Xenopus tropicalis: one gene and its partner. The protein of the gene in region 2 interacts with the protein of the main gene of each other region in a pairwise test. Links are inferred from orthologs where the notes say so. Each region holds a gene or a part of one and is shown on either strand. Other genes may lie near its edges.

The links. The genes of interacting proteins can lie anywhere in the genome.
Region 1: the proteins of smurf1 (region 2) and wfs1 interact in binary tests that used the Homo sapiens proteins (3 or more experiments, as listed by UniProt). The link is inferred for Xenopus tropicalis from reciprocal best matches to the Homo sapiens genes SMURF1 and WFS1.

What each region holds. Positions count from the first base shown.
Region 1 is NC_030677.2:25,488,071-25,491,468, forward strand, and holds part of wfs1 (wolframin), read right to left. Parts: intron 3,144-3,398; coding exon 2,973-3,143; intron 2,608-2,972; coding exon 2,527-2,607; intron 1,408-2,526; coding exon 1,262-1,407; intron 1-1,261. UniProt on the Homo sapiens protein: Participates in the regulation of cellular Ca(2+) homeostasis, at least partly, by modulating the filling state of the endoplasmic reticulum Ca(2+) store.
Region 2 is NC_030685.2:47,094,395-47,098,405, reverse strand, and holds the start of smurf1 (E3 ubiquitin-protein ligase SMURF1), read left to right. Parts: upstream 1-1,211; 5' UTR 1,212-1,359; coding exon 1,360-1,414; intron 1,415-1,496; exon of another isoform or gene 1,497-1,511; coding exon of another isoform or gene 1,512-1,518; intron 1,519-4,011. UniProt on the Homo sapiens protein: E3 ubiquitin-protein ligase that acts as a negative regulator of BMP signaling pathway. Mediates ubiquitination and degradation of SMAD1 and SMAD5, 2 receptor-regulated SMADs specific for the BMP pathway.

The sequences.
Region 1 (3,398 bases), on a different chromosome or scaffold from region 2:
TTGGCTCAGAAACTAGTGCTTGTTGTTGCTGGAGGGTCCATGTGTGGGTTTTAAATCAATTGTGACTTCTAAAACTCCACCCAAACACAGCTTTAAGGAACAGAAACATGTGTGTTTGCTTCAGAAACACATCTATAATTTATATAAATAAGCTGCTGTGTAGCCAGGGGGGCAGCCATTCAAGTTAGAAAAGGAGAAAAGTCACAGGTTACATAGCAGATAGGTTCTGTAGAATACAATGGTGTTTTATCTGCTATCTGTAACCTGTGCCTTTTTTCCTTTGAATGGCTGCCCCCCATGGCTACACAGCAGCTTTGTTTACTAGTAATGTTTTTAAAGCATATACACCAGGTGTACCAGTGCAGGGCAACAGTACTTTATATTGTAATTACTTTTATACACTTTCATTTTTTGGTGTTACTGTTCCTTTAAGCTTTTTGAAAAGTAAACATACTTTCAAGCCACTTTGCAATATACATCTATTAAAAATATGCAGCTTTTTGTCCAGTGAAAAGACAAACGCCTTGTATATTTCTATGTTGGAGCTGAGCACCATCCATTGGTTGTACACAGATAGCAATGCCTCTATCCTGTCAGGACTGAGAACCAGAAAAACAAAGTATATAACAGTAAAGGCGGTTAACTGGCCATAAACAGGCTGAGAGAGGCTGGAGACTCTCCAGGTTCAAACAAATTTTCAGTTATGCAGAGCCCCCCACAGGCCCAATAAATAGTGACTGCCTATAGCATCTTACAGCAGCCCCTCTGGCATTTACCAGAATCGACAAATTGCCAGTCCGGGCCTGACTCTGTACCTCCAGACCAAGTCGGAAGCTCATTGGTCTGTGTATGGGACCAGATATCTGGCTGAAAAACTGGCGAGCTATCTATCAGGTAGGTTATAAAATCTTGCCAGACTGCATGGGACTTTAGATACAGTCCCCTCCTGATGGGTCTCCATAGAGCTGCAGTATGATCTGATCTTTTAACTGGGGCAGCTGATCATATCAGCCCGATTTGGCCTCAATGCTTTGGTGGCAAAATCTGGCAAAGATCAGTTTGTTTGGCAACCTCATATGCAGCTTAACCCAATACCCCATGGGAACAAAAGACTGGGAAGAGCTACAGGCAAACATTAGTACTGTCCTTAACTGGACAAACAGTGCCATCTAGTGATCATAGAGCTGTGCTTTTAATTTAGTGCTACTGTTACCCTTTAATGGCAGTAACAAACAAGACATGAAAGAGTATAGTCAGCAACCTTTTGTTGCAAAGGCAGCTCTTCTGGGCCCTTCCCAGCAAACTCGTCATCTTCATCATCGTGTATAATCAAATTGCTTGGGACTATCCCCTTTGCGTACTTCTTGGTAATTTCAACGAAATCATCCAAAGCAATAAAGCTCTTTGCTGAAATATAACAAAAACAACTTGCTTATATGGTGATGGTACTCAGGGGAACAGAAATGAAAGAGGGGCACCCTGCACAAAGCAAAAAATATAATAAAATAAATTGTTTAATTAGAACAATAAAAGTCTCTTGGGCTCATTTATAAACACTGGGCAAATTTGCACCTGGGCAGTAACCCATGGCAACCAATGAAGTGTGTATTTGCATTGTTCAACCTGCAGGTGGCTGAAAAAGCCAATCACTGACTGGTTGCTATAGGTTACTGCTCATGGGCAAATTTGCCTAGTTTTTATAAATAAGCCACAATGAGTAACACAATACAGCTGAAGGCATGGGACACAGGTGATAGACATGCTGGTAAATGGCTGGATATCTCTAGAGTAAATAGGAATAAAAAAAAGAACTGGTGTAACCCTGTTTTAATGGCAAGTATGTCAGATTCCATATCTTCTATATCAGGGGTCCCCAACCTTTCTTACTCATGAGCCGCAGTCAAATGTAAAAAGACTTGGAGAGCAACACAAGCACCATAAAAGTTCATGGAGGAGCCAAATAAGGGCTAAGATTGGCTATTAGGGGCCTCTATGCACACTATCAGCTTACAGGGGCTTTATTTGGTAGTAAATCTTGTTTTATTCAACCAAAACTTGCCCCCAAGTCAGGAATTCAAAAATATCTACAGGTGTGGGACCTGTTATCCAGAATGCTCGGGACCTGGGGTTTCCAGAAAAGAGATCTTTCCGTAATTTGAATCTCCATAACTTAAGTCTGCTAAAAATTATTTAAATATTAAACCAAATAGGATTGTTTGCCTCCAATAAGGATTAAATGTACTGTTATTATTACAGAGAAAAAGGAAATCATTTTTAAAAATTAGAATTATTTGCTTATAATGGAGTCTATGGGAGATTGCCTTTCTGTAATTCAGAACTTTCTGGATAACGGGTTTCCCGATAAGGGATCCCATACCTGGTTTGGGGGCACTGGGAGCAACATCCAAGGGGTTGGTGAGCAACATGTTGCCCCTGAGCCACTGGTTGGGGATCACTGTTCTATATAATGCAGCAGCCCCCACACTATGAACATGAACAGTTGAAAAGGACCAATCATCTACTCACATTCACTACTGACTAAACGTTCCAGGATCCTCCGCTGCTTCTGTGCTGCCTTGGGAATGGGTCCTGGCTCATTATTTCCATCTAGAAAACAAAATTTCAGTTTGAACCTGGGGGTTCATATTATATTACAGTATAGAGACACTGGTATAGTATTCAGGTGAGCTGCAAGAATAGGTGGTTACTTGCATGAACCAACTAAATAAATCTATTTTAGGGAAGATAAGAGAAAACAGTATAGGGAAAGATAAAAGAGAGAGATAAACTTGATTGCACTAGATGGGGCTGATAAGGAGCTCTTACTATAATTTCCTCATATATAAAAGAAGCATCTGTTAGGATATCCGATAGGACCAGCGACCTATACAGTGACAATAAAAATTCCATGGTACCGCTGCTCAGCCCCCTCCCTAGAGCAGCCAGTATCCCAGTGGATGCCAAGCACTCACCTTCAGCGTTGACCTGGCCCACATTTTCCAGCAGCTCGGATACAGACACCTGTTTCTTCTTTTTTGGATTCAGTTTCCAGTACATGACCAGGGCAGCCTTCCTCACCGCCCTCTCCAAATCCGTCTCAGATGACAGTTTCTTCACCTCGCTTTCATTTTCAGTTGTAATTCCTTCGGAAGGAATGCTCAGCTGTTAGTGGAATCTGGATCACATTGAACTACATGTGCTCGTTACATCTTCAGGACCCCCACAAACTCACACTGTTTGTTAAAGGGGTGGTTCAATTTTATTTATTTATTTTTTCATGCTTTTTCAGTTATTTAGCTTTTTGGTTTGCTATTTCAGAAGCTATCTGTCTTATATACCATTGCAACCAGGCAGTGGTTTGAAAGACAGACTGGAATATGAACAGGTGAATGAATAGA
Region 2 (4,011 bases):
CCCAATTATATTCTACAGAGCTTATCTGACTCTGCTATGTAACCTTGAATGGCTGCCCCCATGGCTACATAGCAGCTTATTTAAACAAACTATAGTAGTTTTTCAGTTGCGCACACACACACTAGTTGTACCAGTGCAGTGCATCATTACATTACATTTTAATTACTTTTATTTTTTGGTGTTACTGTTCCTTTAAGGTGGCCACACATAGGCCGAGTTGGCTGCGTATCTATTGCCCTCTGGCCAAAAATTGGCAAGATGTTGTTAGGGCTATGATTGCATTGGCTTGTTGACACAGTCCTTGACCATTTGGCATATTGAGGAAAGATCCACTTGTTACGATTCCTTCTAAAGATAAACTGAAAACAGTAATGATTGTTAATTTCCGTGAAGTACTGATCTAAAGGTGATAAAATTTTGCTTTCCTGAATTTTTGTTGACCCAGTGTGTTTCCTTTTTGCTACAAACATTAAAGAAGAAAGAAAGGTAAAAACTAAGTAAGCTTTACTCAGATGTTCATCTGGAATGCTTGGGATCTGGAGTTTTCCAGCTAAGGGATTCTAGAAATGTTGTAAAAAACCCAAACCTTTGCCATATGTTTGAGGTTTCGCAGTTTGGAGTAGAAAGACATATTCAGCCATTGAGAAATGGTCAGAAAGTGTACTTGTCAGCAAATATAAAGTCTTCTGGGCTCTATGTACTGTTAGGGGATATTACACATAACACACATACAGCGTAATGCAATAAAATTGTACCCGATCTATTAACCGTTATTAATGAATAAAATGTTCTGTTTTGCCCAGTAAGTACCATGTGTTCATTAGCAAGAGTTTCACTCCACCTGGTGAAAACTTAACAATTACTGTTTTATAACATTATTTCCTATACGTGTTTGACCTATGCAAGTTACTTTGTGCTGCCCGATCACGCTTGTTTAATGTATCCCTTCGGTAAGCGTGTAATAACACCGTAATAATGCTATGCAGTTAGACTTGAATCAGGACATAAATCAAAGGCAGGTACAATACCTGGAGACTAGACCCAACCAACGATTTAATACAGCATTTTAATTGAACCATATTCTAAAAAAAAAACCTTTAAAGACAGCCTACAAACTTCATAAAGGCTAGGAATGAAATACCATGAAACAACCAACGCATCCCCTCCATTAACCTGTAGCAAATTAGCTTTCCAGTCCTGTACTTCACTCAGTCGCTCTCTATGACGTCAATATAGTGCGCGGCATAGAAGCTCGCTCTCGCGGTGTTTATATATGGACACCCGGTAGGATACACCCGACGTAACGGGATTGGCTTTTTTCCCCAATAACTTGTATGCAGGCTCCCGGCGTTTGGCGGGATGTCGAACGCTGTGACTCGGAGAGGTGGATCGAGTATCAGAGTTCGTCTGACAGGTAAAGACGAGTCGTACTCAAGGGTAGTACGGAATTACTGTATTGAAGCTCTGGAACGGTAAAGGATACATAGTATACTTAAATACGGGAGCACATCATGACAGGTGTGTTCTAAGACGTATGCACTGTGAATACAGCACAGTAGTGTGCTTTACAAACTCTCCTTTGCATGTAGTATACAGACATGCATATATATTGTGAGTGTTCTCCATGTAAATACCAGCTCTATCAGGTGCCTAATACATTCATTTAATACTTTTGCAGTTGTAGTTACAAGTGGTAATTTTAAGTTATCCTGACCTACTCAACAAGTCCAGTGACTTAACACTACTAGATATTTATTTTATTTATCATGGCTTGAATGAAAATCTTCCTTAACATAATGAAGGGAAAGGAAAACCATACACAACACTCCCCACATTCTTGTAGGCTATATCTGGTTATTCAGTTATCTGCCATATGTACTTTTTTGGGAGATTTATGTCTTAAAAAACTGCTCGTAATAAGTGGTTAAAATATAAGTGTTTTCTTATGTCACTGTCTTAGGGTGACTGTAGCATGTGTAGTAGGCCCCAACTTTACAGTGTACGTTCTATGTTAGGGTTAGTTTGGATGATGTGCTTGTCAGAGAAGTTCAGTCAATGGTGGGCAACATGGTGACCTTGAAGACAAAATTATAGTGGTTCAAGGAATACTGTCATGATTTCTATTGTATACATTTTATTTCTAAATTACACTGTTTACATAGCAAATAATTCATTCTATCATTTAAATTCTTTCTCTTGAATCAACAAATGTGTTTTTTAGTTGCAATATTGGTGTGTAGGCAGTCATCTCAGTGCATTGTACCTGAGTCTGAGCTTTCAGAAGGAGCCAGTGCTACACATTAGAACTGCTTTCAGGTAACCCCTTGTTTCTTCTTCTCCCATGTAACTGGAGGAGTCCAAAGCCGGACTTGGTTTTTTTACTATTCTGATATCTACTGGGGGCTGCTACGTTCCCATTGTTCTGCTGATCGCCTGCTGGGAGGTGGGTTTATCAGAACATAGGTCACATGGCTGTGGTACCCTGGGAAATGAAGAATATGTGAAATTTCATAATTAAATATAAAAAAAATCTGTGTTTTTGAAAAAGGAATTTCAATGCAGGATTCTGCTGGAGAAGCTCTGTTAACAGGTGTGTTTTGATAAAAACATGTTTTCCCATGACAGTATTCTTTAAGGCAGTGATCCCCAACCAGTGGCTCAGGGGAAACATGTTGCTCACCAACCCTTTGGATGTTGCTCTCAGTGCCCCCAAACCAACAAGATTTACTACCAAATAAAGCCTCTTGTAAGGGTATAGTGTGCATAGAGGCTACCTAATAGCCAATCTTAGCCCTTATTTGGCACCTCCATGAACTTTTATGATGCTTGTGTTGCTCTCCAAGTCTTTTTACATTTGACTGTGACACTCAAGTAAGAAGGGTTAGGGATCCCTACCTTAAGGTATAATATAAAGTGTAAGCATGGGGCACTTGGGAATGTTTCCCCTTTCAATTACTGTATATACTCGAGTATAAGCCGAGTTTTTCAGCACCCAAAATGTGCTGAAAAATTAACCCTCGGCTTATACTCGAGTCCCTCCAACTAACACCCTCTGCTACCTGATTCCCTGTGTGCTCTTTTGTGCTCCGCTGCTTCCTGGTTCCTTGCCCCACCCCCAGGAGTGACATCACACGCTCCCTGCTCTCAGCTCGGTGTCTGAGGGGGAGGGAGAGCCTTTACAAGCAGGCAGGAATGGAACTGTTTGAAGCAGGCAGGCAACGGAACATCAAGCCTGCATACTATTGAGGTGAGGAGGGAGGGAGCTCCTTGAAGTGAACCTCAAGCTGAATCCTCTCAGTTTATGATGTGCTCCTTTTGACAGGTTGAGGAGCAAGGCATTAATGAGTTATTACTTCTCCAGGTGACCCTGCTAGAGGAGGCAGTAGGGGGGAGCCTGGCATCTAGCAAACTCATTCCCTGCACGTATTTGTTCAGTAATAATGATAAATCCTAATTTTATTGGAATTTATTTTGATTATTGAAACTTAGAAGCTGTTGCGTTTCCCATCCTAGGCTTATACTCTAGTCAATAGGTTTTTCCAGTTTTCTTAATTAGGTACCTCGGCTTATATTCGGATCCGCTTATACTCAAGTATATACAGTAATCCTGATGATACTGGTTTAAAGAGTTTCACTGAACCCACATTTACCTTCTGGATTTTGCCAAATCCCAGAACGTTTTTTTAAAATCCTCTTCTTTTTTTTTTTTTTTTTTTCTTTTATTATGAAAATTTGCCTCCTACTAGTACTGTTTGATGGCAAAGGAAGCTTATAGCTAGCTAGTCTGAGAAATATTGAAGATATGGAAAAGTGAGAAACACATAGACTTTCTCAGGTAGTAGTTTATACTGGCTGCATGTGTATACACCCCGTTTGATGCTCTCTGAAGAAAAATTTTACCCATCGGTGGAATGAAATATTAACTGGTTGGGAAATAATATTGTGCCTTATAGCGCTGCCCAAATCTCTCTCTGCTGTAATGGAACAGCAGAGGTGCACATTCCTACTATG